4 linked regions of the Drosophila melanogaster genome follow. The protein of the gene in region 1 purifies or fractionates together with the protein of each later gene. This does not show direct contact. Each region holds a gene or a part of one and is shown in the gene's direction. Other genes may lie near its edges. The genes, in order: lap, nSyb, VGlut and Csp.

Region 1 (6,518 bases):
TGCACTGCTCGATGACGCTGTTTCCCTCCGCCTCGCTACTGGTGGTTGTGGAAGAACTGCTGTCGTCTTCGTCTTCATCCTCATCCTCATCCTCATCCCCATCCCCATCTTCATCATCATCTCCATCTTCATCGTCATCTTCGTCCTCCTCGTCATCCTCATATACAATTTCGTTCTCTATCAGTCGCATGTCCATGTCCACGCTGTAGAAGGAGTCAGTTATGACGCTTTCATCATCAGTGGTAGTCTCGTCCTCCTGTCCAGAAGTATCGTTATCAAGGTCCAAGTCATCATCGCCATGCTGCTGCTGCGGCGAGGAACCCTGGCTTCCCGCATCGATGCGCATCTCCTGCATCAGCTCCTTGATCAGCTCAGTCTCAATCTCGGTCACTCCCAGGCCCAAGTGTTGCTTGTTTACGTCCATCAGCACGTTCTTAAGGTTGCGGGCAAGAAGGCGCATGTGCTCATCACTGCAGGCGCTCGGGCTGGTCACATATCGTATATAGTCCTCCAAATAGTAGTTGTTGAAGCTATCGCGACTGGGATCACTGCTGGCGAACTGCTGGTGCGTTAGCAGCAGCTGATTAATTAACCAGTTGCGACCGCCCTTTAAAACTTCTATGGCATCCCGTACACATTGGCGGCCCAACTCGAAATTGCGGTACAGCGGGTAGGTGATCATTCGCCGCAGGAAGGCAACCAGTACGTCCCGATAGTTGTCGAATTGCTCAAAGTAGCAATAAAGCGGGCACAGTATGCTTCGCGTCCAGCCCGATTCACACGTCGGCTCATTGTTCGTCGTCCGCACATCATAGCATATGGCCAACAGAATGCTTATCAGCCCGCAATCGATCTCGTTTTGCCGAAAAACGTCGCACGGCTGCTGCTCCCGTGTCTGCATTCGGCTGATGTTGTGCAGCAGATGCGCTTGCTCCTGGGTCATGGAAGTCTCGTAGATTTTCGGTTTGTAGCGTAAAGGATTCTGGTGACCGGACGGAACCTGTAGCTCCACAAAATTTATTTTGTACTGCTCGCGGGAAAAGCGCTTCATCTCATCGACCACGCGCTCTTGCCGCCTTTGGATGGGGCTCATGCGATGTGGCTCCGACACGCGGCACGTGGCTCTGTCCAACTGTGAAAACATCTGTGTTTAGTGCGCGGAAGAGCAGGTTAACCAATTGAACTCACCTCACTCAGGTCTAGCGGTCCGCTGTATTCGCTAGCATAGCCGTACCCAAAATTGTTGGTCAGCTTGTAGGTGCGCTCGTGGTCGTCGAGCTGCAATTGGCACTGATCGGTGATTCGTTTGAGTTTCCATTCCTGCACCAGAGGCTGCTTGTCCGGCAAATTGGCACTCAGTGTGGGTAGGTGCAGGAATGCGGCTATGTACTCTTTGCGACTATTCCACTGCTTGGCTGCATCCCCCGTACCACCGCCTCCGCCTCTTTCTCCACCGGGTCCTTCCTGGGCACCCGCTGTTAGGGGCAGACAGCGCAGGCAAATTTGGTAGTGATTCTCTGTCGTGTTGAACTTTATCAACAGCGTCTTCAGCTCTCGCAAGTCGAAGGTGCGACGGCTGTGGAATCTGTCCGAAAAGGGAGTACAAGTACGCAATGATATCGCTGGAATTTCGCCACCATGGCCCACCATGGGCACGACAGATTGCCGGATGTGACTCACTTGTACAGCTTAACATCTGCGTAGAAATAAAGATCGTGCGCGTCAACGAATATATCGCAGTTTCTTATGCGATCCACATGCAACGCCTCCGCTTCCGCCAACCCCGACCCCGCTTCCTGACCAAACTCCTCACCAGCGGAAGAAGAAGCAGCAGCAGCTGCTGCTGGCTGGGCCGACTTTGAGGACTGATTCAGGACAGGCGGGCGGGGTATGATCAGCGTGCACGAGTTCTCCAAATAACTGTGTGCAATCTGTCCATTCAACATCTTACAATTTTATTACGAGACTGTTGATTGTGCTAACTACTGTTTTTTAGTATAATTTTATTTATTTTAATGACCAGTATGACCGCCTACTCGAAACTAAAAATTCCTGTTGACAGCCCCTTAGCTTACGTTACGTTTGGCTACACTTCCGACAAATCTAGCTACTTTTTAACTGCTGTTGGGGAATTTTAAGTGCTAAGTTATAAAAAAAGATTTATTTATAGTATCTTAATATTTTATATTTTTATTTATTTATTTATCATTATTTTTTTTTATTTTCAGAACTTATATGAACACATCGTAAAAGCTAAGTTCAGCTATTTCGTATTCGCTTACGTTATGGCAATCGATATTTTCCCACCTAACGCCGTAAACTCAAGTCGATTGCACGCGTTAGCTCCACTTTGTGGACGCTTTAGGACATTGCTCATACGCTCGCTCCATTTGCCAGTCGCCATTATCGATTTGTGGCAGAGGAAAAATAGAGAATTAAAAAATCGCGTTTCAGCGTTAGGCACCGGTTAGAGAGCGCATAAACCGCGGCGATAAATTGTGTAGTGATTGTGACGTAGGAACCACTAAATCTTTACTGTTAGTTTAATCGTGAGGCTCGCATAGCAGAGTTTTCCCGTTCGAAATATTCTCAATCAATCAATACCTCTCTGTCTCTCGCTCGCCCCATACGCGTGTGTGTGTGTGTCTCTCTCTCCCTCTCTCTGTATCTGCTTTCGAGTGTGTGTGTGTGTCGGTGTGGTCAGCTCCTTTGGTGCATAATTAAATTAATCAAGTAAATAAAAACCAGCGAGCGGCAGCAGAAACAACAACAGCAACAGCTTCATCATGACCATGGCAGGGCAAACGATCAACGACAGGCTGCTGGCCGCCCGTCACAGCCTTGCGGGCCAAGGACTCGCCAAGTCCGTTTGCAAGGCCACCACGGAGGAATGCATTGGCCCGAAGAAGAAGCACTTGGACTGTGAGTTGCCCTGTCTATCTCTTTCCCTTGCCCACTCTCTTGGTCTTTCATTGCGTAAATCACCGTTACATTTCCTTGTTATAACACAGAGAGAAAAGAGGCACAGCCTTGTGCTACTAGTGGAAATGTACCCATCAAACACACGAAAATATTATTGTTACTTTGTAACGCTTTAAAATTAATTTATTTTTATTTGCAAACATAAGTCGCAATAAAATCTGTTTAGAAATTAACTTAAATTTTAATAATAATAAAAATTGGAATGAATAATATACTAAAGTAAGGAGTGCCTAACAAATTAGCAAAGAAAATAAAAAATTTAAATGTAGCCTAAATATAAAAACCATCGGCACAGTTAGTACGCTGCAAAAGTAATTTAGCAACAACATTCAGATGCAACCAGTTCGGGTTTCTTGGCTTCCTCGCTCCATTTTCACGTGCCTTTTGTTTTTGTGCGATAAATCACAAAGTTTTCTGAAAACGAAACCACTGATTACGGTCCACAAAGTCCCACAAACACAAACCACCACCCTCAAATTGCATCTGTGGCTCAGCTGCTGGTGTTTGTGGACTCCGTTCGTCATTGATTGGACTCCCCTCTCTTTCTACCAACACACTCTCTCTCTCTCTCTAATGTTACGTCACTTTCCCACGGGTGCACGTGTGTTTGTAGGGGCTTTGAATGGCTTAAAACGCCTACGAAAGCAGGGATTGTGTTTGTCACGGTGTCATTGCTTGTTAAATTTATGCAAGAGTCTTCCCTAATTTGCTGGATTTGCTTACACGTTTGAATTTTGCAAATACTTCTAAAGAGCTCCATATCCTAACGACATTCATTCCCGTTGGAATCTGTTTTTTTGGCTAGTTTTGCTCGCATTTTGACCCCCTTTTATTTAGCTTGTTGGCACTTTTCAGATGACTCATCAGATATGGCTACGAGTAAATGGGAATAAAAGAGGGCAATATTGTGGGGCGTTACTTGTCACATAAACATTGTATTGCAGTTGCCGCAAACCAATTTCCAATATAACCCAAAATTTGGCCACATGTGCTGTTTATTCAAGTTGATTACTTTATCCAAAACGTTATGCTCAATTCAGTTACCAAAAGTCTAAATAAATTAAACCTGAGTTAAAAGTCAGTCCGTACATTTTACAAGACGTCAGCAGGTAGCATGAAATATATTTCTTCTACCTATTTTCTCTATTTTCTTTTGTTAACAACTTTTGTCCTATGATAAAACCAGTTGTGTGTTCACGGAAACAACAGCACTTAATGAGCTTTACACCGATTGAAAAGATCCCAGAATATTTCAACCAGCTACACAAGTGGGCAATAATAATTAAAATTAAGTATCAATGGTCCCCCACTACAGTGGAGTCTCGATACCCGACACATTTATTTATTTATGTATTTAAGAGCATAAGCATGCGAATTGACCCCAGCGATAACTACGCTACAGAAGTCGCCAATCGCTTTTGGTATCCGAGCACTGTAAATATTTTCGAAATATATGTGAATCAGTGAAGATTTCAAAAAGGGCGGATACGAATTTTAACTAAATAACTCATTCAAAATGTCTTAACTACTCAGCGATTTCAACGTTTTGTCATAAAGTGACACCCCCAGGCCACTGTGCTCGTTAAGAAACTCACCAGTTTCGTTTACAAGGACCGATCAATTTTCCACATTTACTGTTTATTGAAATTTGTTCTTATTTATGTATAAATGAATCACTGGCCTGGCGCCCGTCAGCCAAACAAAATGAAGCAAAAGGACGGCGAACATCTGCGATGGCTTGTGAAATGTGCAACGCCCCTCGAATCCCATGCAATTTTTTCTTGCTCGGCGACAAACACTTTCCAACCGAAATGGGAATTGATTCAAATGGAAGCGCATGATAGTAGACACAATGGGATTCAGCTCTTATCATCGACACTTTTCCGTCAGTATTTAGCTTGAATGGCGGCTGCAAGCTTAAAGCGCAGATAAGCAAACAACGACTAAGAGTCGCGACCGATAACGGGACGCAAAAAACAAGATGATTAAATTTATGGGAGGTTCGGTTATTATAATAATAATAATCTTTACAGAAACGTTGTTTGTTTCTGGAACAGATAAATTGACTTTTAAAGTTTTATGTTGCTTCTTAAACATGTAAACATTTGTTGTTTTGCTCATATGAACTAAGTTTTCGTAAAAAAAATATACTGTTGAATAAATCTAGAGGATAATAACTAATAGTTGTCGGCGGTTATATCGAATCTGATTGATTTTTCCAATAAATGCTTGGGAAAATAAATATCAAGTCAAAGTTAATCGCAACCAAAAGTAAAGTTGAGTTGGACGTACAAAATTAAGGAAAAGAGCAAATGGTTCACTAACCGAAAATTACAAAAAAAAAAAACGTTCTTTATTGTTTTCTAATCTACTGTATGGATATGCGTTAAGAAACTAATATAAAGCTATGCTTAATAAAATGATTTTCATTTATTATTTTAAATCAATGTAAAATGTTAAATTAGTTTGTGGTTGCTTTGTGTTAATATAAGTTTCATACCTTTATTTAATTGCAGATTTGGTGCACTGCACAAACGAGCCGAATGTGTCGATACCTCATCTGGCCAATTTACTTATCGAGCGTTCACAGAATGCCAACTGGGTCGTCGTCTACAAGTCGCTGATAACCACACATCATCTGATGGCATATGGCAATGAGGTTTGTATTTGTGTATTTATCGGAATCTAGTGTTTGTGCGAAGCTTAGGGGCGTATTTCAAATACATTTTTACTTTCATTTAAGCGTTCGAAATGAGGTAATCTATTTTGTTTGATTTAATATACAGATGAATAGGTCACGTACATCATGAGATTCTTATTATTTTCCTTCTTGTACCTTTAATGGCAACTTATTACTGCAGAATTACTCTTTTGGGATGACCTCTGACCAAGTATATCGTTGTGTGGTATTTTACTTTCAGTTTTTGTTCGTTCAGTTTTATTTCTTAGTAATTTTTTTGGTGACATAAAAAGTTGTCTTCTCTGAAAAATAAATAAATAAATGTTAAATTTTTAACACATCAACTTTTATAGTTCCCTCCATTTAATTGCGATTTATAATTATCTAAATAATATTTAACAGCATTCCTATTGTTTTTCCTAAATCTTTTCAGCGATTTATGCAATATCTTGCCTCTAGCAATTCTACATTCAATCTCAGCTCCTTTCTGGACAAAGGAACTGTACAAGGTATAACGAAGCCTCCCTTTTAAGCCTCCCAAATTTGTTTCAAACCCATCGACTATTCAATCGATTTACCTATTTCAAATTATTAACTAATACCTACATTTTGATCATTCCTCTCTCATTCTCTCTTTCAACTCATGCGAATGCGCGCGAACGTTTGGCTTGATCATTTGTAATTTTGTTTACTTAACAAAAATCTCTAAAACAAAAATATTAATACCGAAATGCGCTGCTTACTGACCTACATACCGCACACTACATGCTGGCTAACAACAACTGAAAAATGCAATTATCCAAACTAAATATTCAAAATCAAACAATATAAACCTTATATACAGATGGTGGCATGG
Region 2 (9,496 bases), on another chromosome or scaffold:
CTGCAGATTGGTGCCCGATGCCACGAAGCTGGCCTCCGTGTGTCCTTCGCGACATCCGTTCATGAAGCGCACCTGCCGCTCCTCGATGCTTCGTTCCCGATAGCCCGTGTACCGAACCTCGCTCTCCCGACTGAGCCTCCGGAAAAGTTCGTCGCTCTCGAACTTGGACTTCTGGTCCGGGACCACACGAGGCATCTTGAAGATGAAGCGCGGCTTTGGCTGTTCATACAATCCGATGGTGTCGTAGGGTATCATATTGGCAAGTGCCGCCTCGTTCATCATTTTAACGGGTTTTCGCGATTCGTCCGCTCGATGGAACGCTGAATAGGGTATGTTTCTATGGGTGCTTCTGCAGACCGCTGCGTGCACACAATAATCCCTGGAACTCGGTACCCTGGATGGGTTTCTTTTGGTCGCTCCTTCGACGAGCCTTCTGCGTATACACAATAAGCTCTTGTATCTTAGCACTCTGAATGCTAATTGTTTAAATTTCTCGCCTCCGTCGAAAAAAACAACGCACAATACAACAAAAAGGTTGGTTTGCGGTTTTGATATACCAACTGACGCGGCGTTGCCACTGGGAAATAGTGGAGAAGTCAAAACGTAGCGATGGAAGCAAAAGCACGGCACGAGCACCAAAAACTTATTCTTATTATTCATTCGAATTATGGATATAAGTCGCAAACATAACAATACATATTCATTTTACTTACCTACGGGTTTCATATTTAATTTACCAGTTTTTATATCATGCATTTTAACCATGAAACGATATCCGCCAAGGTATTCAGTCACGAGTACATCCCTAAAATAAACTATTGATGGTCTGGCAGCACGATTACATTTGCCCGCAATTTTCAACTTTATTTTTCCCTTTTCTCTAAGGGGTTTCGGTAAAAACTCGATGCGTACTCAACACGCCACAAACTAAACACACATAGAACACATATTTCACAATTGCTTTTGGAAAAAAGGGCGATAACGGGTACATCCGATTTCCCGCTCGGAAGAGAGCCGCTTCGAAAATACTAACGGTTTAACTTTATTGGATCGGTGCACGGCCACACTGGCGGCGTGTTTACCAAAATATATAATTTGGATCGCACAAACAGGTGATATATACCGTCATTCCTGTCCGATATGAGTGACAACCCCGCCGCGGAGAACGAAAAGCGACCGCAGTTCGGAACCCGCCTGCTCACGGATGCTGACGACGTCTTCAAGCACAATGCTTGGTAAATATGGGTGGCAAATCCTCCGGAGATTGGCCAGCAAAAGTTGGGAACACACTCGCCAGCGTAAAAAACCGTCGGGAGCGGGCAGCCGGGTGCTCACCGACGCGCGAGAGGTGTTCGAGTTTAACGCCTGGTACTTATCTGCCGTTCAGTACTCATGAAAATCCCTCTAAACATGGATTCACAGGGACCACGTGCAATGGGATGAAGAGCAGGAACTGGCCGCGAAGGCGGCTGTAGCCAAGAATTCGACCTCAAAGATGGAAGCGGAGCAGAAGGAGCGATTTCAGACAGACGCCCCCAAGTTTTGGGATTCCTTCTACGGCATTCACGACAACCGCTTCTTCAAGGATCGCCACTGGCTGTTTACGGAGTTCCCCGAACTAGCTCCTCTGGCGGCGGATTCGGCGGTACTGCAACCACGTAGCATTTTCGAACTGGGCTGTGGAGTAGGAAACACAATTTTACCCCTTCTACAGTACAGCTCTGAACCGCAGCTCAAGGTTTTCGGATGTGACTTCTCCGCCCGGGCCATTGAAATCCTGCGAAGCCAACGGCAGTTCGACGAGAAGCGCTGCGAGGTGTTTGTCATGGATGCCACGCTGGATCATTGGCAGGTGCCCTTCGAGGAAAACTCACAGGACATTATTGTGATGATTTTTGTGCTGTCCGCAATTGAGCCAAAGAAAATGCAGCGGGTATTGGACAATTGCTATCGCTACCTGCGTCCCGGTGGCTTGCTCCTCTTCCGCGACTACGGACGATACGACCTGGCACAGCTGCGCTTCAAGAGCGGCAAGTGTATGGAGGACAACTTCTACGTGCGAGGCGACGGCACCATGGTGTACTTCTTCACGGAGGAAGAACTGCGGGGTATGATGACTCAAGCGGGGCTGCAGGAGGAGCAGCTCATTGTGGACCGAAGACTGCAAGTTAATCGCTGTCGCGGCTTGAAAATGTACCGCGTGTGGATTCAGACAAAGTTCAGGAAACCGCTTTAAATCAATTTAGACGAATAGTTCTGTGCATTTTAAACCTTGTTCAAATCAATTGATATAATTATTTACACGATATATTTAAAAATACAAAGTTAAAACTTCAAACTGTAATATTACTAGAACTTTGAGCATTTCTTTTTCTTGATGGAAAGCCCGGCTTGTTTTTAAATTTCCCACCCCTTGGCCATCGGCACTTGGAAATCGCTAAGGAAAAGCTTCTCGCTGGAACACCATTCGCTGCTGGCCATCCAGGCAGCTTTTTCCCCAAATACACATAACAGTTAGGAAAGCTGCAAGTTTTCGCAGTTGGCCAAAAACGTCGTAAGTGAAAATTTTCCTGGTGCTGCGTAAAAAAATTCGTAAAATATTAGTTAAGCCTGGTTTTTGTAAACTCAAGTTGCCCGAGCAAAAGTAAAGTGATTCTGATCAAAAGTGCTAAAACTGATTGATTAGGAAAACGAAGATCAAACGAAATGTCAACCAAAGTCAGCGAAAACCCTTGTCGTGCAGAATTTCATTGATTTTTTCTTCTGAGCCCACGTTGGCCAGTTGGGCACTTGAAATTATTTTTAAAACGTTTTGCATTTTGAAGACATCTTAGGTGCCCCTGGGGGTATGCAACGGAAATGAGGAAGGACATGCCTCATGGCTGGGCGTGTTGCTGCCACCCAAATAGTCCTCTTACGTCCCAATTAGAATCCCATAGCTGCCCATTTCAAGCATTAACCGATGTACTAAAAATAGTTGCAACTATTTTCGCACTCTATTCAGCAGCAGTTCCAGCGCTGAGCCAGAAAATTCCTGCGAAAGGCTGTCGTGGCAAGTGTTACCCGCACACATACACATCATCCAGATCCAGCCAATCCCCCCGTGGAGTGGAGTGAATTTTCATTGACGACGGGGCGAAAAAGCTCTGGCGGAAGAGCGACAGAGAGAGAGAGAAACAGAGAGAGAGAGAGAGAAGCGGCACTGAGAGCGCAACCCTCTAGAACAAAAACAACGAAACAGAGTTCAGCTGCACCACCACCCACTACCTACACCACCAACGCCACCACCGCCCACTGACCATCCCACATCCCGACCTGCGCCAGTGGAAGACAGTGAAAGAGGCCAAGTGCATCGTGCATAGAGTACCTTCATCCTAATCATCGACAGCCGAATTCGCTGAGGCCACCAGAGCACCACCAGCCAAACCACAGAAGCAACCACACAGCCACCAGAGCCATGTAAGTGGATGGACGTTATTGATTCGTTTTCCGGCGGGGAAATGGGGGTTTCGATTCCCCGCCTTGCTTTTCGCCGTCACAGAGGGAATGCTCGTTTGATAGCCGCATTAAGTATACGCAGCATGGGTCGCTCATTTCATTTGTCATTTGTCCAAGTGCTCGCGCCCGTAAAATCCGTAAAAGGAACACGGGCCAGCTGCAGCTGCCGTTTCGGTTCGCTAGGCATGAATCACTTGGCGATGACGTTGTGGCATCACATGGCCAAGTCTCTCACACCGCAAAATCAATAAAAACACGATTCGCACCCGTGAGTCAGGACATGCAAACTAAGTTGCACCTATTTCTTTTGGTCGCTTGAAACCAAACATAAGATATGTGTCATGATCAAAAGAAAAGCTCGTCTTATACACACATACAAGTTGTTGATAATGCTCTTTGATTCCATATAAAATTGATTTTGCCAATAAAAGCCGGGGAAAGTTGAGAAATCCAAAAATATTCCCTCCACGTAGGTAAAAAAAAAAAACCAATTGTCGCCGGTCGTAGGGATTAGGGTAAGATATTGATTTCTTTTTCTTTGTCGTGGGAAAGGGAAATACGGTTCGATGAAAACATTTTGCCAACAACAATAACCAATACCAAATGACCAAATGACTATGGATAATACTGAGATACTTCACTCTATTGTTTGTTTCACTAAAAAATATGCATCACGTAGAAACCATACAAACTAGTCCAGCATAAGTAGCTTCGCCTATTGTAATTCTTTTATTTAAAATTAACAATTTCCCTTCCTTTGGCCCCGCAGAGCCCAGAAGCCGAGTTAAAGGTCAAAGTTTTTGGGGGTCTGAGATGGGAAAGAAAGACAAGAACAAGGAACAGTAAGTGTCTCTCCAAGTTAAAGGGTAGCTGGCTAGAACTATACTCCAGCACTGTCCGTAGCCCACACGTATCTTGGAGATATTTCGATTAAAGCTAGAAACCATAGTCGTTCGTAACCACCCACCCACACCCACTCTTTGTGTAATCTAAGTACTGTATTTAATGCGAGAGCCCCCGTTGGAAGTTGATTAATCTTGGCCCGAGCTATTCTTGTTCTCGCATCCGATGACTAATGACGACCTCCTCCGCAGGGCGGACGCTGCACCAGCTGGCGATGCACCACCCAATGCCGGAGCCCCGGCCGGAGAGGGCGGCGATGGCGAGATTGTGGGCGGACCACACAATCCGCAGCAGATCGCGGCACAGAAGCGTCTGCAGCAGACGCAGGCGCAGGTCGATGAGGTGAGTTCCGGGACTGAAAGTCGATCACAGATCAGCCATTCCATTAACCACTGCAACCCTGAATCCCCGACCAGGTCGTGGACATCATGCGCACGAACGTGGAGAAGGTGCTGGAGCGCGACAGCAAGCTGTCGGAGCTGGACGACCGTGCCGATGCCTTGCAGCAGGGTGCCTCGCAGTTTGAGCAGCAGGCGGGCAAGCTCAAGAGGAAATTCTGGCTTCAGAACTTAAAGGTAAGTGCGACGATGGCAGTTACCTTGTCGGACCGAACTTCAATCTTTGTTTTCTCCGCACAGATGATGATCATCATGGGCGTGATTGGCCTGGTTGTCGTGGGCATTATTGCAAGTAAGTTGACAGATCCTGGGCGAACTTGGTGCACTCATTTCTGGGACACACATACCCCAGAGAAACTGACCTTGACCCACGCCACACCACACCACACCACTCGACTCACCACGCACACACAGAACCGAAGATACTTTCAAGATCACCCAGTTACCCAGTTGTGTTTGTCTTTTGAGTTCGCCTTGATTTAGCGCTGATTTCGTTGGCCCAAATCGCTTTCGTTTATCTACACACCGAATCTAAATTGCGTTCTTAATTCCGCCACTTTTTTTCTCTAGGTAACTTTATGTAGATTGCTAACTATCTAATCCGTAAGAATTTAGTTCTTAGCCGCAATGCAATGCAAATCGAAACCAAATCAAAAGCCAATCAATCAACCCAATAAGAACCAATCGAAATCCAAATCGAAACCAAAACCGAAACCAAATTCAACTCATTCACAACTGCTATGAGTAGAGCTGCGAACTCACAGTCCAACTGACCGTTCGCTCAACCGATTCGACCTAGATGCCTTGCGAAATTCCCATAACTATAGATCGATCGATCATATCATGTCATGCGCTTCAGCCACCACTAGAACAATAACTAAATGCTAAGTGGCATACATATGCGAGTATTTGTATTGTGTACCATGTATGCCCAAGCCCAACATCATCTGGTTCCATACGAGCATACGCACAGGTTCGGTAAAGATTTCATTTGATGCCCACTGAAAGTCGTGTCCTGTGTTGTTTCGTTTCGTTACGTTGCCTAACCACCACCAGTAATCAAGTTGAGATCACGCCGAGTATCGGATCCGCCAGCTCCGTCCATGTGGGTTGCGGCTGAGGGTCTGGACGACAATGGAAGGACCCCGGCCAGAAGCCGATCTGGCGGAGATGGACCGATACTCAATGGTGCCCGTTAGCCTTATCCGTAGGACCTTAAGTTCTAGCTAGCTAGTTCTAACTCCCGTAAGCCGTAATCGTAAAGTTTGTGGTTTGTTCAGTGTTTCGTTAACCGTATCCGTATCCGTATCCGTTTTTCGTTTGTTTCGTTCTGATATTGGCAGCAGCACCCCAGCCACAGACACACGACTGTGCCATGTCCTGTGTAAAATACAAAACTTGAATCCACTTCCCCAGTAAAAGTAGTCCCTTCTCGTAACTCGTTACTCAATACTAAGCCTTCACGCAACTCGTTACTCGTTACTCGTTACTAAGCCTCCACGCAAGCGCAACGGCCTTCGGATTGGAAAAGCCAGCCTTTCTTGTGCCACTGAACCACAGCAAAAGCATAAAGTACTGCCATTCTTCTTCATTTACCTAAGTTTTTTTTTAATGTTTTCACCTTGATTTGACACACTCTCAACACCGAACCATATTTTTGAACAATTACAGAGAAAGACGAAGAATAATCACACAGAAAGCTTCAGCTTTGTACAATTTTATTAACCATAAGCAAATCAATTTACCCAATATAACACTTTGTGTGTGAGGTAAACAGCGAGAGCAATCTTTTATTTATTACTCATACGCCACATTTATTGCTAGGTGCACCAGTTGATAAATCCTTTGTTTTACATCGCTCAAAACCGTTTCTATATTTATACTTTATTGTTATCATCTTTATCTGCTCGCTTTGAAAACAAATCGATTTGAATTAAACAACAACATGAACTCACCGAAAAATTTCTCGTAGAACCGTACATGTCGGATGATAATGCTGCTCCGCAGCCTCCTGCCTTGCAGCAGCAGGTGGCTCCGGCATCGGCAACTGCACCTGATTCAGCACCACCACCACCACCACAACTACTACAACAACAAGAACAACAACTACAACCACACCACCATACACAAAATCTAAAATCTGAACCACCGACACTCGAGAAACCATTGGCCGAGAAATTGACCGACCACCCACAGAGTCCGTCGAATGAAGTGGCGACTGGACAATAGAACGCTCACGATCTCTCTTGAAAACCAACATTCAACCAACCAACCAACCAACCAACCAACCAAACTAATCAGCCATCGATTAACCACCAAGACGCATCCGTAGAACCATAGTCAAAATTAATCAAAATCGAAAAGAAAACATTTCACACTTTCTTTGTACCATTGACAAAATCGATCTAATCCGATACACTGTAAGCAAACGAAAAAACGGCAACATATCAATGCAAATAATCATACCCAGTAATTTGACACCTGCGCTTCTTCTTACTTCCGTTTCCGTTTGTGCTCCCACTTCCGTTTCCGCCGTTCCTCTGGTTTTATATTATTTCGGCTGGCTGTAAACGGTGTCTCATCGTTTACCGCCAGCCTTAGCCGCATGTATGTGAGTTAATCGATGTCTATGTGTGATTAGTGCCTTATTATTTGATTTTTACAATTCAATGTTGTATGTATTTTAAAATTGGCCTAAGTTTATTGCACCAAAAGCGAGAGGACTTCTCTTCGGGAGGCTCAAAGGAAGACAGCTTCCAGTGACTGCCTAAATGTACATAAATATATATGTATATATATATATATATATCCATACCTGTTCGATGCAGTTGTCCCTGCTGTCCGCCCCCACCCACCGTCCACATCCCATGTCCACTTGCTATATTCCGTCATGAGTGAGCTTTTAAGCCTTGAAGTGTAATATTTTTGGCGTATACTCGTGTATCGTTGTCTGAGATTGGCTAAAGAGCGCAAAGAGCCATCACATGTCGTGCCCTACTAATTCTTGCATCATTTTAAAACAGATAAACTTGGACTCATAGGCGGGGAGCAGCCGCCACAGTACCAGTATCCCCCACAGTACATGCAGCCACCGCCGCCGCCACCGCAGCAGCCAGCCGGAGGACAGTCATCGCTGGTGGATGCGGCAGGAGCAGGAGACGGAGCAGGAGCAGGAGGATCGGCAGGAGCTGGCGATCACGGCGGCGTGTAAGCAATCCCGCTGCCAGGACGAAAGTTTCTCGATTAGTGTGCTCCTTCAGCGGGCGAAAACAAAGCAGAGAAGACAAAAGAAAACCAAGAAAGGAAAACTCAGTTAAACTAGAAAATCTCGAGAATTGCAATGAAAACTCAATAATAATTTTCACTTAGACGATGTGCACGAGTTGGTGTGAGAGGTTTTAAGTAACTTACGTCATAATATTAATACTAAATCTAATGCAGACGCTCCGGACAATTTGAAGTTGTTGCTAATTTGTTTATGGTTACATTATTTCATGCATAAAACGGTATATATAATTATAAATATAAATACAAATCTAAATACAAATACAAATATATGGAACTTGAATATTACGAGTGACTCCAACCACTACCCTGTACTACCACCCTATACGGAACTAGCATCTCTACGCTGCACTGGCAACAAGGAGCGCCAGTGGAAGCAGGAGGACAGGCGGTCGCTTCCCGATGTTCGCAGCTCTTTGAACTCAGTTTCCTTAGCAAATCGACTAGACAAAACTAACAGAATCATAACTATTTCGGAACAGACGCGAAACCAAAGAAATGAAATCTAAGCTTTGTTCCTAAGTAAAGTTACGCAAATATGATATTCGAAATGTATAATCCAAAAAGATGAATTTGAATCGACGGGCCGCCAGAGAAAAGGCAGTTAAATGTTTTCAAGCAAGTTTACTTATACAAAAACAGCAAGCGTAGTCGGCTGGAAAAAAAAACAACAAACAAAAAAGAAATGAAGCCAGCAGCAAAAGCTAATAATCCCAAAGTCTAGTGAAAATATACAAGCGATTCATTTGCTGCGTTTTGTTTACGTGCGCGCTATCATTACTGTTGTGTTTGAGAATAGCTCGAAAGGTTCGATTGAAAGCGGAATCCAGACAGTTCAACGATTAAATTAAGCGCTAGACACAAAATACGTTGGTTATCCACAGGACTTAGTTAGCTCGACGAGGCATACATATATGTTTGTATATTTCAATGTTACGAGTAATAGACGAGGCGGTAATTAGAGCATATATATGTACGTGTATGTAACGATATGATATCTAGATCTCACACACTCCACCCGAACACATTGCCCCCATCACAACCGATAGCCAATCAGGATCAGAATCAGAATCTGATTCAGGATCAGATTCAGATTCAGATTCAGATTCAGAGAGCCACAGCTCTCAGCACATATTGTACCCAACTTGTTCTGAAGATACAGCATACAGTACGTTTAATGTATTAACTAATTGATTCTACAAGCGCCTGCCCAAAGTGCTTTGCCTACCAACACATTGGGGCACGAACAAAATCGAAATTAATTAGAGAAAAAACCAAAGATTAATGGCGAAAACGAAATCGAAATCCAATTCCAAATCCGAATGCAGGTATTTTTAGCAATATTCGTAGCGTGTACAATATGTCGCCCTTAAAGCTTATTAGAATCAATCTCGTTCAATGTCCATCTCAAC
Region 3 (6,270 bases), on another chromosome or scaffold:
GGGTAGTAGTAGGAAACTATGGAAATATATGATAGTTTCATGTGTCTATAAATCCAAAAAATACAGAAGCTGTAAGATAAATCTCCCACCGAACAGACATCTCAAAATCCCCCGTTTCATAGTTCGCCCCTCGCAGTTTCCATCATATCTCAGACGCTTCCAGCTATTTGCACACAAACAAAAATAAATATTAAATCTCAGAAATCGTTTTTGGGCAGCGACACACCCTTAACCCCCGACCTGCGTGATTCCCCCAGTCCCAAGGATTCGAAATGTTACTCCGCTTACTATGTGCCACGCTTATCGACGAGCACAGCGTTTAGTTTGATGATTGAGTGGGTGGACATGTGGATTGACAGCATGAGTCTGCTGAATCCACAGAAGCTCATCAATTTCCCGCCTCGGTGGGAAAACCACTCGCATACTTTTGACGATTTCAAGCTGAAATTCGAGAGCTTTTAAAGTCGTCACAGTTTCGGCTGGTAATTAAAACCGCGTGAAACCCTTTCACCGAAAGTAATCCACCGACGCCCATTCCCGTAATTCACTCATAAATCAGACAACGAAAAGCCATACATCATACGCACCGTGGGGAATCTCCCGAAAAAAGTACACAGAGATGACAAAGCTGCAAAAGTTATTTTGTAATTAGTGCAAGCGGCAAGGACGACGGGAGACCGCCGCGTGGATAAGGACACAACAGGCCCAACAGGATAATGATGATTACGCTGGCGCAATGAAATTGAAGACGACTTTCTGCCGAAGCTGCACTAATTACCGCTGACGTGCGATGGGAACTGGGAGGCCAGCGGAAGTCCTCGCCCGATTCCAGGACGAAACTCCGTCCGGGGGACTGTCAACTCAAGTTTGACACTTTTCTGCTGACAATTTATGAGAGCGGGCCAACAGCTAAGGTTACCGATTTGAGCACAGTGGGTGTTAAAGAATCATTTTGAGTGAGGAATATTATAAATTTGTCGAAATTATAGATGAATATAGCTTGCAAATCTCATATGCATATAGAACTTATTGTAATTTAAAAAATATATATATTTGACTAGCACTTTTGTAGATTGAGCTTGTAACCAATTTGAATGTTCGGTTTTTTCCACTGTGCACGATGGGCACTGACTGACACTCGATCCGGCCGACAACGTCGCCACTTAGTTTAGAGTTTTATGAGCACAATTCGCAATTCGATTATTCTTCATTTACGTCAATCAATGTGAATGGCGCTTTTAGCCGCTAGCCACGCACCCTTAATCGCTTTGTTTAAATAGTAAAACGCCGCACGGATTGGGCATTTTTCGAAATTTAATATCGCAGATGCTTTTATTGTGCCGCCGTCTTGTCTGTGGAAATCTGTCTGCCCCGAAGTCTGGCTCATGCCGTAGACGTAGTATCTGTATCTGCAAATGTATCTGTATCCCTTTCGAATGCGAAAATCCCGCTGCCGTTCTGTTGACTTTCCTTTCATTTCCCAGCTCGGCTGTTTCCTCGTCCCGCTTCTTGTTTATTTCGCTTTGCTGTTTACTTCCGCAACTTTATTATAGCTTTTGGCTGAGTTGCAACTGTTTGTTGGCTGTTTGCTTTATGCTTATGAGGGTTAGGCCAACGCGTCGTATTCGCAACGTGGCCAGGACATCTGGAGGGGATCCTGGAATGGGACGCCGAACGGAAGCGGGGATTTCTATGGGGCATGGATTTTTTCTGTCCCGTGAATCGATGTGGTTGATGAGAATCGAGGCAGTTGCTCACACTGTTGACCAGGATTATTAGCTACTTAAAGTGGCCATTGAGAATATTCAAGTTGAGTTGAGCCTAATAAGTATATGTGTTGTTTGGAACTGGAGATTCTTTTCTCTTTCCTTGAATATAATAACGAATAATAATAAACGAATCATTCTGCTTCTTGGGGCTAATAAAAGACAACTAGCTTTGGTTTTAAATAAGATCAATTTAGGATCGAAAAATCCATTAGAGTATTCTAATAAAATGAATCAAATGTTTTTTTACCGTTAGACCGCCCAGTAATTAATGATAATCCATTAGATAGATTTCAAGCTCCCAAACGTGAGAATTTAAAAAGCATCACGTCCGATTCGAATCGATCAAAGCCAAGAGCAAAGGACTTATTTATTTGTAGCCGGTCAGACTTCACGATTCATATTGAAACGCTCATCCATAAATCGTAGCATTTTCCAAAAATTCACCAAGTTTGGAGCTATTTTGAGCCCCCATGCAGACAGGGGAAAATATTCAAAATGGCTGACATTCTATAAAAAGGCGGCAGAAGGACGCAGGACGTCTGTGTGCCAGGAGGAAAACAATGGAAAATGGCCTGGCAACATGTTAATAGCATTTCACGCACGACTGAGATTCGCATGCCAACCCAGAGAAAGACATTCCCATGTACCAGGACCTCTGATTGGTTCTTTTTGGCCAGGTGGCGTGCCATTCCCCCACAGCTGTCCCCAGTCTCAACTGCTACAGTTGCCATTCGCCGTCAACCAATGCCGAAGGACGAAGGACTCTCGAAGGATTCTCGAGCCTGCGCAGCTGTCGCCTGCGTCGCGAGCTTTTCACCACAGCGGGTGCGAACGGGACGGATGCGTTGATTATGCTGCGGAGGAGCATAATCCTCTGGCAGGACATCCATCTGGGCAGACAAGAAAGGCGAATGCGGGCGCTTTTAGTTTCACTTCGTGCGTTGTCCTGCTGAGGCCAAAAAGCGAGCCTGGAGCTGCGGGTATATAGCTGGGAAAATACATCTAAAATATACCAATAAATCAGAAAATATAGTTCAAAATATCCGAATAATCGTGCTAATATAGCAAGTGTTTCGAAAAAGTGCTGCCCTCCGGCTAGAAGTTGAGAAATCTACGTTTTTCTGGCAACGCCTCGTAATACCCTTGAAAAGAAAATCTCGCACATTCCAGTGGTTGAAAATTTCCAGTGTATATACTACGCTCCTCCCACCCCTTTAACACCCCATCCCACATTCGCTTCATCACTAGTCCCTCCGTACATATACCCCTGTATGTGATACATTCCAGGCCGCGATGGCAGCTTATGTATCCATCTTCCGCTGCCACCTGTCCTCCGCCGATCTTTGGCTGGAGGTCCACAACGCGGCTGATTTTGAGTTGGACGTCACACAGTCTTCAGACAGAGTTGGATTCGGATCACCATCGTCCTCGTCGTCGTCGTCGGTTCCATAGACAACCTGCCGCCGGTCTCGTGGTCAAACTCTGTCTGGATGTTGTCGTCCCACATACTGAGTTCTTAATTGGTTTATCCAAAGTTTTAAGTTTTTCACTTTAGTTTCATTTCTATTTTTGCGGGCGAGTGTTGCTTAGAAAATGTGAGACTTTATATAAATAAATACAAAACATCTATAACGATATATTTTAACACATTACCAAGAAGATATATATTGTTTTAAAAAATTCTTCTAATTATATTAAATCACCTAATTCCATATCCCTTTTTATCCCATTTGCAGCGTATCGCGTAGTGAATAATCAAGCTATATAATCTGTTATCTGTGTACCTTATTTGTGATATCCTAACCAACAACAACAAAATAAATTAAACGATTTTCGTTGTCTACTAAAACATAATTTAAGCCAAGTTAATCACCAAAAATATCTGTGCTTAAGTTACGACTAGAGGCCGATTATATAATCTTGCACCAACTACGAAATGGATTACGTAACTCTGGTGTGGCATGTAAGTAGGCGTTGTGGCCAAAGGTCAAAAGTACAACTGTTTTGGGGGAGGAGCTTCCAATGGAATCATCTAAAGAATTTTGTGAAAAACGCCAAAGAATGCGTACATATATACTTTACATTTAGTTTCGAAATTCCTGATCTAACAAGAAATAAGCTAGTATAAAAAATGCACAAACTTAAAACCTATGATTATTTCCATTGAATTTGTTTTCTTATTATAAATTGTAATTCTAATAATTCCAATAATCGTAACATTGCTAACTCTTTCGAAAGAGATTACCCAAATCAAAAGAGGTGTCAAATTTCATGCTCACACCAAATGAAGCATAAAACGCTATCAAAACCGCTCACAATGCCAGAAATATTTACAAAATGCTCTGCCGGCTCAGTAGTTACCCCTCATCACAATCATTTCGAAATTCTCGTGAATTTATGAACATAAGCGGCTTACAAGAAATGTGCAAAATGATGAAATTGTACGAGACTTTTGCTTATCAGCAGCAGAACACAAATTGCCGGACCCATTAATAGCCGCATACAAATCTCTTTTGCAGGCACTGTAAATGAAAATGCACAAACTCCACGAGAATCGAAATCATATGGCGACCAAGTGAAAATCCCCCGCTGAGAGAACGAGCCAACCCGAAAATAGAGTCATCAAATTTGTGCTGGCTTCACGGAAATTAACCGCCGCCGATTCGCTACGCTTATATACACGGCAATCCGCCGTGAAGTAGGCAACAAAATATATTTATGCGCCCAAGTGATAACGGCGCAAAGGCAACGAAGCACAACAGACGCTGACTTGGGCGAAAGGACAGCAGCAGGAGCAGGACTCGTTGATCCGGAGGCAGGGGCGGAGTGAGGACAGGCGTCTGGGAAAATCAGGACTACTAGCTGAGCAGCAAGATGAAGGGTCTGACGGCGTTTAAGGAGAAGGCAACGGGCGTGTTTGGCGGGTGAGTCGATGTGATATGATATACTCTAGTAACACCAGACAGCAGGGTTTGGGTCTTAAAGAATATTCAGATTTATAAAGGTTTTTTTTTTTTACCAGCAAGAGGATATATTTAAGCATAGAAAGCAGATCTATATGTATATTTAAAATATATCCTCATTTTGTTGGCAAGTGTACAGCGATGATGGGTGGCAATATGCCCGAAATGAAATATGATTGCAATCAAATGGACCTGCGGAGAACAAAAGGGAGAGAGTTTAATTTAACGCAAGGATGGTCGGTGCTCGTGGTTGGCTGAACTTGACCATGCCAGGATAATGCAGTAAATATGTACCGATATTGATACGCACTGGCGACTAGCCGGCGTCGCGAAACTTCGGCACGTGTCGCGCCCCCCCCGGAAAGTTGTAAAATTATTGGCATGCTTAACAAGTCATTAGAGGGGGTTTATAGGGATTCTAAGGACTTGGGACTTGGCACTTTTCACTGGTGACAACGAACGCAGTGGCATGCGGACGAGCTCACCGGTGCGTCAGGAATTCCGGGCACGTTGGCAGCACGTGTCCGGGAACTTCAACTCCGGCACCTTCGATTGCGGACGAAACGCAATAAAGTCGTGCCACTGGGACATATTGGGCAAACACTCGATGAATGTGTGTGGTCGTGGTATGCAATTTGATGGGCACACCTCGTCTGATTTCTCAAGGACCTTGAGTGCTAAATTAGAAATTGGAACAATAGGTGGCACATCGCTTTCATTACGGAATTTGTTGCATACCGACGAAGGCTGCTGCAGCGCTTAAGGCAAATGAAATTGATTTTTACGAGCTGCGAGCCGTTTCCGTTTCCGTATCCGTATCCATTGCCAACAGGACCTGGCGCTGAAGCGCTCGAGTGGCACTCGGCGCGAAGAAATTGAAATGCCTCGTTGGGGGAGTGCTCAAGGAGTTCCTTTATCCTTGCTAGTGAAAATGAAATTAGAATTGCCATTGAAGACGCGGTCGTGTCGCTGACAAGCCCCCATTCTCCCACTCCCCCTCAGTGCCAGAGCATCTTCATCACAGTTGTCAGGGCAAACAAACTAATACACTCCATACAGCTCTACATATACATATATATCTGAGAATGTGCCCCATTTACATCTCTAATGGTCGCGTTTTGTGGCCACGTTAAAGTCAAAGGCGAATTGTACAAAAGCCTTCTGCTTGTGGCGCCAGTTATCCTTAATCTGGGCGGCGACAAAAAGTCTGCAACATTTTTACTGACAATCAATGCGGAACTTGAGCGCCAAGGATAGTTTGGCTCATCTTCAAAAAATTTGGTGTCTAAAAAATGCGACGCTGATATGTTCTAAAATGAATATATAAAAAAAAAAAAATAAATAGTCAATCATTGAAAAGTAACTAGCTATTTCTATTTAAAAACCTTTAAAACCCTGTTATCATTCATATTTATGTGACTGATTTTTCAATGCCAAGATCTTAATATATTACCTCAAAATGGTAATCGAATCCTCTTTTGTCCTATAACAGACCTAATGATGGGCATAACGCAGTCCCTTTTTGCGAAGGGCATCAA
Region 4 (9,543 bases), on another chromosome or scaffold:
TGGTACCACGGCGAGTGGTGCAAGTCGCGCGGCCGTAGCTGCAACAACACAAACTTAACCGAAGTCCGAGGATGCTGCATCTGGTACAACGAACCAAACCTACTGGCCGAAGTTGAGGACCACTTGAACATCACCATCCAGCAGGTGGACAAGACCATGGATGTGCCAGTTAATGACTTCGACGGCAAGGTCGTGTACGGTCAAAAGAATTTAAGAACTGGCAGCGGCTACGAAGACCACGTCGAGCAGCTGGTGCCAACTGTACGCAAACTGACGGAGCTAGAGTTGCAATCACAATCTTTATTCTTGAAACGTCTTAAGGTCTAACGCGGATCTGGAGCGACATTTGTTTGCTATGCAAGGAAAGGATGTGGTGAATTGAGAAGTGCAAGACCAACTCACGCGGAAATACTTTTGCGGCACAAACACACAATTTTGTATATGTAGGAAGTCGGAGCTCAAGCTCTGCTATTAAAAATAAACATTTAATTAAACTAACATTAAAATCGTCTGTCTAAAGAGTAAACAGCCTCGTTTGAAAGCTGGAGTCCGGTTACCGTCACTTCTTCTCCTCCTCCTCCGCCTCCTCCTCCTCCTCCTCGTCCTCCTCGTTGAACTCGGTTCGCATCTGTTGCAGCGCTCTAAGCTGCTGGCACAGCTGGTTGCCGAACGACTCGACGTAGCGGGGGCTGATCTTGTCCAGCAGCGCGTACGGCGTTTCAAATATCTCCTCCTCCTCGTCGTCGCCTTGCTCTTGTCCGTTGCGAAGCAGTGCAGAGATCCGGCTGTCCTCGTCTATGGTGTCGTACTGGGAGGAGACGATCTTGAAGCCACGACTGCTCACCTGAACGCAGCAAGTGGCGCTCTCGATAGTCCGGATGTTCAGGTAAATTTGCGTGGCATCGCTTGCCAGTTTGGATGAGATGCAAATCTCAGCGACGTGAGCCTTAACATCGTTAATTATGGCGTTGGCTTCGTCCTCGCAGTTGAAGGCCTGCTCCTCCCCAGGGTCTGCGGTGGCTTTCGGTTCGCCCATCCTAACAGAATCGCTTCGGAGCTCTGCGGCTCGCCTTTTAATTGAATCCCAGTCGATCTGATTCCCTTTTACAGGCGCAACATGTCGTTCCACTCTACTCCATATGTGTCACAGCAGCTGTGTGGCGTGTGCCACGCGTTAGTACATTTTGACCGATGAAGCGGAGCAGGGCGTTCCGGCCAAACTGAATATAATCGTTATTAATGATTTTACATGCAATTTAGCTTAGTTTTTGGTTTAATAGAAGTTCGTAAGACGTACCGATATAAAACGGTTGCTGTCGTATCGAAAGTATAAATTACTCCTAAATAATTGAAATTGGAATGGAGGGGTGCATAGTATAGATTATGGATTAAGTCCAAAATTTGTATATAGCCTCTTTTTTACATTCTTTTTACAAAACTGTAAATAATTTTAATTTAATTAAATAATTTAAAAAAAAACGAAATAGACAATTTTTTTTATTTTATTATTAGTTCTTAATATATGCTTCCCTTATTTAACTTTGTAATTGTATAATTAAAAAACTTAATTTAATTTTTAAATAAAAAAATATTAATAAAAAAATATTCTGCGAAATGGGTTGCATCAAAAAAAAAAAAACACGTGCACGACCTTTTCCTTGGGTGTTCCCTTTCACCCTTCATTTCTTAGACAATCTCGCTTCCGCCCATACAAATTTTATGCATACAGAAAATGACCTGCGGCCGATCGTTGCTTGTGAGTCGCTCACCAGAAAAGGTTATTGCGCTCGTAATAAAAAACTGTCGGATATTTTTTATTCCCGCAAGTAGAGTGTCAAAAAACACCCGGCTGCCTAGATACAACAGTGTTTAGCGGGTGCACTTGGAGTGCCAGTGGCTTGCTGCAGTTCTCTGGTGCACACTTTCGATGCGATTTCTTACAGTGAGTCCCGTAACAGCAGCTATTAATGTTGCGATAGATGGCGTGTTAGTCCAGAGCTGGAAATCATTGATGTCGGCAGGTAAACCGATAAGATAGAACATCGGTTCAGTTCCATCTCTAATTTCGTTGCGAAAAAAATAAGAATCGAGGCATCGGTACGGACGTCAAAAACTGCAATTATAAGAGTACACGCACAGATTGTGGTTCTTGGCAGGCACAGACTTTCACTGCGTGTGACAGCGATCGCTAGTGCAAGTTACCCGTTCGCAGTCAAAGTGACACAGGCATCAGGATGAGCGCACCTGGCATGGACAAGAGAAAACTGTCGTAAGTATTTTGTAGTGCTCCTTCATTTTTCCTCCACGGCGCACACACACGCGCCGTCGGCAGAGTACACACACTCAGCCCGTGCGCGAGTGTGAGTAGCAGCTGCGCGCAGGCAGCGCGGTCGGCGCGAAATTGATTTTTCGCGGCAGAAGTTTTCTCGAGCCAGCAGGCACTTTCCTTTCCACGTCGGGATAAACAAGGAACCGGGTCAGGGGTAATAATGGGCTCCGGTAGTGGGAAGGGGAGGGCAGCTGCGGCTGGAGTTTGATTTCGGACAAGCGAATTCGTCCTGGGCAAGGCCAAGGACAAATTTGGCCATTTGACGGAATTCGATTTTTATTTGATTTCAATAATCGTTAGTTAAAATCTTAGTGGCATAGTTTCAACTTATGTTGCATTAGGCAGGAAAATGTAAAAGGTAGAAAAAAGGCTACGCACATCATCGATCAAGACTCGAGCCGATATCATTCAGATATGTGCTATGTAATACATACAGACCATTATTAGAATTACACATTATAACTACACAGTATGAGAATTTCCTCTTCCTTTCTCCTCTTCCTCTTGCATTCTTCTCGGTTGGCCACACCTCTTTTGCCCGCAAATCGCACGATTTCAATTGTTTAATAGAGAAAAAATGAGTCGAATACTTCATTTTATAAATATTGTTCTATTTAAATTGTTCAATGTTTGGGTCTTCGTGCAACACATACCGATTCCGGCATAAGTGCGCGATAACAACAGACCTACAGATCCAATAACACGACAACCAACTAACTAACCAGCCTGGCCGTTATCGGACAGAAAGTTTTACGGCCGCGTTAGCCGTCTCTATAATTGTACCCTATATGAGTAATGCCAGCACTAACCGCTTCAGTTTGGCCCAGGCGAATTCGAGTTGGCTTAGATTGTCATGATGCCTGCCAATGTCCTTGGCCCTGTGCAGTCGCCCACCGCCCAGTGTCCCTGGGGCACGCATCCGCTTGAGCCTGTAATCACCCTCATCATCGTGGTCCTCAACCACTTTGTCGAGCGCTCGCCGCCTTATCAGCTCGCAGATTCTCAGAGCGGGTTTAGGCATACACAGCGTTGCACCCCAACCCCCTTAACTTACCAAGTTTATAAATAGCACCCACCTGCTCAAGAAAATCCATACAGATTGCAATTTATGTTGCACGCGACCCTGCTGCAGAGCCAACAATGCCAGTTGCTTTCGAACTGGACGCCCTCAATGCCAACGCCTAGTCCGTGGGTGCAGGCAAGCCCTGAGGGCCAAGTGCTCGCCCGGATGAGCTCCCATCGCGTGCCACGGCTAACTGTTGCTGCGGTGAGTCATAGTCCAATACTACTTGCGATGGCTGGGCCTTATCGCCCTCTGTCAGAATGTAACATACGCAGCTGAAGGAATGTCGGAGGCACAGTGCAACTGCGCTAGGCAGGTCCACGCAGTGGTTCCTGAGGTCTTACCTGTGCGTGGTTATCAACCTTTAATTCCAAATGCGGAGACGTGGATAGTAATCCTACGCAATACAGAGACCATGTTCACTTGATTTTCATTTATTTAGGACATCTGGCGACTCGCTTTACGAGATCTTAGGACTTCCGAAGACAGCCACCGGAGATGATATTAAAAAGACTTACCGGAAACTCGCACTCAAATACCATCCCGATAAGAACCCGGACAATGTGGATGCGGCTGATAAGGTAAAATATTTCCGAGAAATGGGTCCATGCGTATTAATATATTAATATAATATATAATATAAATATATTAATATATTTGCAGTTCAAGGAAGTCAACCGGGCCCACTCGATATTGAGCGACCAGACGAAGCGCAACATATACGACAACTACGGCTCTTTGGGCTTGTACATAGCCGAGCAGTTTGGCGAGGAGAATGTCAACGCATACTTCGTGGTCACTTCACCGGCTGTAAAGGTCAGGAATCGCGGTATTTCGCATGCCTAGGCACATTAATTAATCTCTGATTCTCCTTGCAGGCGGTGGTTATCTGCTGTGCCGTGATCACTGGATGCTGTTGTTGCTGCTGCTGCTGCTGCTGTTGCAACTTCTGCTGCGGCAAGTTCAAGCCGCCGGTCAACGAGTCGCACGATCAGTATTCACATCTGAATGTGAGTGAAGTTACTTGGCTTAGCCAAGTCCAAATATAATACCCGCCCCAACACAGCCCGCCAATAACTGAAATCATTTTGATTTAGTTAAGAAAAGAGAAAACAAGAAAACCAATCCGGTGCAAAGCTAAAACATTAACTTTAACGCATGCTTCCCATCCACCCACACACTGTACTATTACGAACCTAACAAACCAACTTTGATGATTTTTGTGGGGAGATCTGTATCATTTTTCCTTCTGAGAAGCTAATGTTTAGTCAAAAACGAGCCCCTACATCTGACATCAACGCTTACTTAACAGCTGCCCGAACAATAAACGCCTAACCATTTTTTAGTATAATTTTCCTGGGTTATCAGCTATCTTGGCACACCATCTCCCTCGATTGGTTTTCCCTTACTCACACTACTCCGTACAAACACTACTCTGATTGCACTGCTTTGTAATTAGTTTATTTTGGGTAAGTATGAAGTTTGGTTTTGGTTTCCGATTATCAATTCTCCAGACACTGAAGTAATCAGAATACTGATTTTTGAGACCAGAGGTAAACACGACTAACCCTAAAACTTTTCCGATCCATCGAACAATTTTTGTATAATTTATTGTTAGTGTTTGTTTTGTATATATGTACTTCACGAAAATCATCAAATGCTTCCAACGTTTCTCTCTCCATAAAAAAAATAATAAATAACGTCAACACATACACGCTCGGATTTCTCGAGACAGACAGTGCAACGATTATTGTTTTTTCCACGATTGCTTTTCTTGTTTTTTAAGTGTCCCATTGCGCATACAAATTTATTTTGAAACCACCCAGATTAGAAGTCTTCTTCCTTTGCTAGTTTGCAAGCTAAGGAACAGAAGCTATAGACTTACGTTTCTATTTTTGGTTAACTTCTTTTTTTTTCTCAAAAATCTTTGCGATCGACTCATCATATCCACCACCTACTACCACCCACAACCACCACACATTCGCTCTCGACCTCGCCGTCAGCGCCCCGATGGCAATCGGGAGGGCAACGATATGCCAACGCATCTGGGACAGCCGCCACGCCTTGTAAGTATGCAAATCGAAAATAATACCAGCACGAGTACCGCATGAAAAAGGTGCAAGATCACCTGCGGCCTGCCTACCGCCTCCACCTGGCTCAAGGCACCCACCCACCCACCACCCAAATAACACAAAGCCAATAACCAAATCCGAACTCTACTTAAACGGTAACCAATCGAAATTTATATGTTCCAAGGGAACACGTCTTACTAAGCTAACATTCAGTCGCAAAACTAACTTGATCGAGAGAACAGAGGAAGAGATGACAAAATAAAAAAACGTCGTTTTTTTGAAAGTACTGCTGTAAATACTTGGTAAATGTTTTATGATTTTCTTTCAATGCTGTCATCTGGCTGATTTTAATTTTGTAGTATTTGGCTTGAAGGGTCCTTCTATCCATCAGCACAAGAGTAATGTAGTGGTCGTAACTAAACCGTAGAATAGTGTACATACATGGCTTGTAGGCAGCCCACCGAAAGTTTTTGACTAAACATTGGTTAAGGGACCTTCCCTCCAAGCTCTCAAAACTTGCTGCAGAAACTAAAATACCGGCAGAAATCCTAATCCCACTCTTTTGTGTCCCGCAGGAGGACGTTGACCTAGACGACGTTAACTTGGGTGCGGGCGGAGCCCCCGTTACCTCACAGCCGCGGGAACAGGCCGGAGGACAGCCTGTTTTCGCCATGCCGCCGCCCAGTGGAGCCGTGGGAGTAAACCCCTTCACCGGCGCCCCTGTAGCAGCTAACGAGAATACGTCGCTAAACACAACGGAGCAGACCACTTACACGCCAGGTATATAAGCAATTGGTCCAGAAGTCAACCACACAGCCAGCCTCCGCTAGTTTGGCAATCCGACAAAGCGTCTTTGACCATCGAACTTGTTATTGTGCATATATCGAACAAATATTGTTTCCTTCGGTCGCTGGATAGGTGGCGAAGGCATTCAGTCACCAGTCGACATACCCCGTCCAGCGATCAGATCAACACCCCCTTAGCAGTAAGCTCGTGTATCCGGCAAGGTATTTTTTAGTCACTTTCTGTACATGTCCACGCGAATATGGGATCCATTTACTTAGATCTGCATGCTGAATTACATTACCACACACTGCCCGAGCTGCAGGATGACCAATGAATAGATTGATTGACTCAGCCTTTCGTTCCTTAGGTCTGCGCCAGCCGTACTCAAGTCCCCCATTTTAAAGACCTCCTTTCAAGATTGTTTTCCAAGCTTTCGCAAATTAAATGAAATGAAAATTTTAATTTCCATCCAAGACATATTCAAAGAATGTAGCTTAAGTTTGACGGATTTTAGTTTTATCGTTTCTTATGCAACGCGTACATTTTGATTTCTTTTCACTTATCACTGTCTACTTCTCTCTCCCCCTCTCTTCACTCTAGATATGGTTAATCAAAAATATTAGTCAAGTGCTGCGAGCGAGTCAAGACCCGGGTGCTTGCGTACACCACACATTCAGATACAGACACAGAAAACACAAGCCCCTAAATCGTAACAGAAGAGAAAACCAGATTTATTTCATAATTATTAGTGTTGTTTTTAAAATGCGCGATATGTTGAAGCGAGTAAACATAGAAACCAATGTATTTATTTTAAGCCGTAGCACTTAGCTCTAATTTTAAACTATCGAACTTCGTGGCCGCCCTCCGGTCAGTCAGGTTGATTTTGGTCCACTTCGGGCAATCGATTCACCAATTCCATTGTTCAAGCCATGCATCTAGCCTTGCAGCTGTACCACTATACAACTCGAATCGATAGCCAAGCCGCGAAGCCACCATCTCCACCTATCCAGTCATGCTAATCACCAAAACACCATTCGGTGTTGATGAAATTGTATATCGGAAGTTTGTCTAGACATTTGCTTGGGGATCGGATCCCTTGCGGCTTAGCCCGTGAGTTGGGATTCAGTCGCGAAGAGAGGCACTGTAATTATATATATGTATATGATATGTGTATCTAGTTTGTGGCATTTGTGTCGTCGCTTAGTCTAGCTAATTTGTTCTCGAGATCTCCTCTTCACCGATTGTTTCTGTTATTTTGCACTAAATTGTTAAAGCCAGAACTACTTATGTAAAAAGGATGAATTGTCGAGCGACGCGCCCAGCAGATTGCTCCGATCCGATTCTAATGCAAATGTAAATACGAGTTAAACAATTAAGCATCACACAGTTAAACAGAGGAGGACGAAGAAGAGGACACTTTGAAGGGCGATCCAATTAACGCAAATATAAATTATATAACAGATATTAATAATCCCCTCTATATATAAAACAATTAAATACGAGTAATCAAAAGTTGAATTGTAACCCCCGAAAGTATTGCACATATTTATGTATTCCAAATTGTTTCAAAATTGAATTGAATCTAATTAATTTTTGTTTGATTGTTAACCCGCTTTTAAATGTAAATGAATGCGATTAGTCCAGCAGTAATTAACTTTTATATTGTAGTATCCCATTCTAAATCATTGACATCAATTATTGCCGATCAGCTCCGGGCCAGGATAAAAGTCCTTGGGCGCCTGGGTCTAGGGCCGGGATCCGAGAGTCGCCGGCTCATCTATAGTATAAACACGCATACATATATAAAATTCAATTATTAATAATTACATTTTACGGTCTTGCGTGTGTATTTATTGTTCGTACAAGTCAAAGCAAAAATACTAAGTAAACTAAATTTAAACTTAACAATTGTTTCCAAATTTCAATTGTATTCTGGTCTAACACGAAGAAGCCGAAATAAATTTATTATACAAACTCACCGCTTTGTTTTACAAAGGGTATTGCCTAGTCGGCTTTGCCCATGAAAAGCTCTGCCAGGATGGTAAACAAACTGATTTTCGGGGATGGAACTTTCGACGACGCCAGCTGCTTGCAGTTAGCTTTCACTCTCTCCGCTCGGGCTTTGTTTTGTTTTGGGACAGTAACGGGCCACAGCCGGCACATGCGCTTTGCCCGCTCCCCGGAATCGCTGAACTTCGCCGCAGAGTTTTCCGCTTCAGAACCCGGAGGGCAGACCGTCGGAGAGTTCGAGCCAAGTGCGGACAAAGAAGACTTTTCCGTGCTGCTGCTTCTGCCAAAAACACAAAGTGGAAAATGTGATGTGTTCGCTTTATTTGTCGAGGATAAATCAATTCCGCTATTAACTAGACTACGGGCACGTACCTGGCCAAAAGCATCGAAGAAAGGCGAAAGGGAATCCAATAGGCCCAATTGAGGGCAGACCGTGGAAAAACCCTCTTCTATCGCGAACCAGTTCGTGGCAGTGTGTGCGTGCGTGTGTGGATTTTCGCCTTACTTTTTTCATGCGCAATTTGGGTTACAAAGCGAGAAAAGCGCTGCTTAAAATGCATGTTTTAAGCGCGTCCCTTCATTGATTTTCCTACGCACAAGGAATGATATACGAAGTCCTCACCAGGAACAAAGGGCGCAGGCCAACGATGAGGACAAAGACGCGAGGAAGCTGCTTCTAGCTTCCCAGCATTCATTAGGACAGGGCGAGGACCAGCCCCGCGCAGATCAGGAAACTCATCCCGGGAGGCATCCTGGCTCCCGTACTGCCCAGTAGCGGCATGGCCGGCCTCATCGGTGCCGCAAATGGCAAACACCACCACCCACACCTCATCTCGCCCACCCACACGTCACTGCCGGCCGGCATATGTAGTAGTGACAGCGGCATCTCCACTTTGAGTGCCATCTCGCCGCCACTCTCCACCTCGACCACCACGGCCTCCGGTGCAGGCGGAGGAGTGGGCGGCAGCCCTCAGCTGCGCACCTCACCTGCGCTGAGTATGCTGGGTAGCGCCACGGCGACGGCCAGCGGCGTTACCGCCTCCTCAGGATGCGGTCTAACTGCCGGGATCCTGGGCCCGGCGGCCAGCATTGACCTGGGCAGCTCGCCGCTTTCTCACCGAAACTACAGCAACTCACTGAAGGGCTTTAGTTTCCGTCGCAGCTTCGACGACAAGATCATCAATACGCCGTACTTGTCGCGCGCTCCAGCCTACACCCACGGCATTCCCTATCCGCATTTTCACGGTACTCAGCCTGCGGCCACCACGCCGCACCACCTCCAC

What was found.
Region 2: the proteins of lap (region 1) and nSyb purify together in Drosophila melanogaster (affinity purification with western blotting, with the first as the bait; one study listed by BioGRID). This does not show direct contact.
Region 3: the proteins of lap (region 1) and VGlut purify together in Drosophila melanogaster (affinity purification with western blotting; 2 studies listed by BioGRID). This does not show direct contact.
Region 4: the proteins of lap (region 1) and Csp purify together in Drosophila melanogaster (affinity purification with western blotting, with the first as the bait; one study listed by BioGRID). This does not show direct contact.

Annotation. Positions count from the first base shown.
Region 1 is NT_033777.3:7,184,626-7,191,143, forward strand, and holds the start of lap (like-AP180), read left to right. Parts: upstream 1-2,368; 5' UTR 2,369-2,786; coding exon 2,787-2,922; intron 2,923-5,498; coding exon 5,499-5,641; intron 5,642-6,095; coding exon 6,096-6,171; intron 6,172-6,506; coding exon 6,507-6,518. Other genes in the region: CG10055 (uncharacterized protein), read right to left, coding at 1-1,132, 1,189-1,585, 1,681-1,946. UniProt on the Drosophila melanogaster protein: Assembly protein recruiting clathrin and adaptor protein complex 2 (AP2) to cell membranes at sites of coated-pit formation and clathrin-vesicle assembly.
Region 2 is NT_037436.4:1,630,781-1,640,276, reverse strand, and holds the start of nSyb (neuronal synaptobrevin), read left to right. Parts: upstream 1-2,602; 5' UTR 2,603-2,644; intron 2,645-2,664; exon of another isoform or gene 2,665-2,718; intron 2,719-3,004; exon of another isoform or gene 3,005-3,007; 5' UTR 3,008-3,457; coding exon 3,458-3,459; intron 3,460-4,267; exon of another isoform or gene 4,268-4,311; coding exon of another isoform or gene 4,312-4,340; intron 4,341-4,592; coding exon 4,593-4,743; intron 4,744-4,817; coding exon 4,818-4,976; intron 4,977-5,039; coding exon 5,040-5,091; intron 5,092-5,369; coding exon of another isoform or gene 5,370-5,383; exon of another isoform or gene 5,384-5,772; intron 5,773-6,470; coding exon of another isoform or gene 6,471-6,487; exon of another isoform or gene 6,488-6,568; intron 6,569-6,771; coding exon 6,772-7,028; 3' UTR 7,029-7,219; intron 7,220-7,822; coding exon of another isoform or gene 7,823-8,010; 3' UTR 8,011-9,496. Other genes in the region: Bgb (Big brother), read right to left, coding at 1-282; Mettl2 (methyltransferase like 2), read left to right, coding at 1,205-1,368, 1,423-2,236. UniProt on the Drosophila melanogaster protein: Involved in the targeting and/or fusion of transport vesicles to their target membrane. Major SNARE protein of synaptic vesicles which mediates fusion of synaptic vesicles to release neurotransmitters.
Region 3 is NT_033779.5:2,397,602-2,403,871, forward strand, and holds the start of VGlut (vesicular glutamate transporter), read left to right. Parts: upstream 1-2,693; 5' UTR 2,694-2,749; intron 2,750-3,149; exon of another isoform or gene 3,150-3,364; intron 3,365-3,505; 5' UTR 3,506-3,732; intron 3,733-4,288; 5' UTR 4,289-4,643; coding exon 4,644-4,693; intron 4,694-6,270.
Region 4 is NT_037436.4:22,265,519-22,275,061, forward strand, and holds Csp (cysteine string protein), read left to right. Parts: upstream 1-1,863; 5' UTR 1,864-2,234; coding exon 2,235-2,269; intron 2,270-3,834; coding exon 3,835-3,973; intron 3,974-4,055; coding exon 4,056-4,208; intron 4,209-4,270; coding exon 4,271-4,402; intron 4,403-4,413; exon of another isoform or gene 4,414-4,702; intron 4,703-5,395; coding exon 5,396-5,458; intron 5,459-6,039; coding exon 6,040-6,244; coding exon of another isoform or gene 6,245-6,252; exon of another isoform or gene 6,253-6,850; coding exon 6,851-6,873; 3' UTR 6,874-7,780; downstream 7,781-9,543. Other genes in the region: Ddx1 (Dead-box-1), read left to right, coding at 1-327; CG11523 (uncharacterized protein), read right to left, coding at 560-1,036; Srpk79D (Serine-arginine protein kinase at 79D), read left to right, coding at 9,040-9,543. UniProt on the Drosophila melanogaster protein: May have an important role in presynaptic function.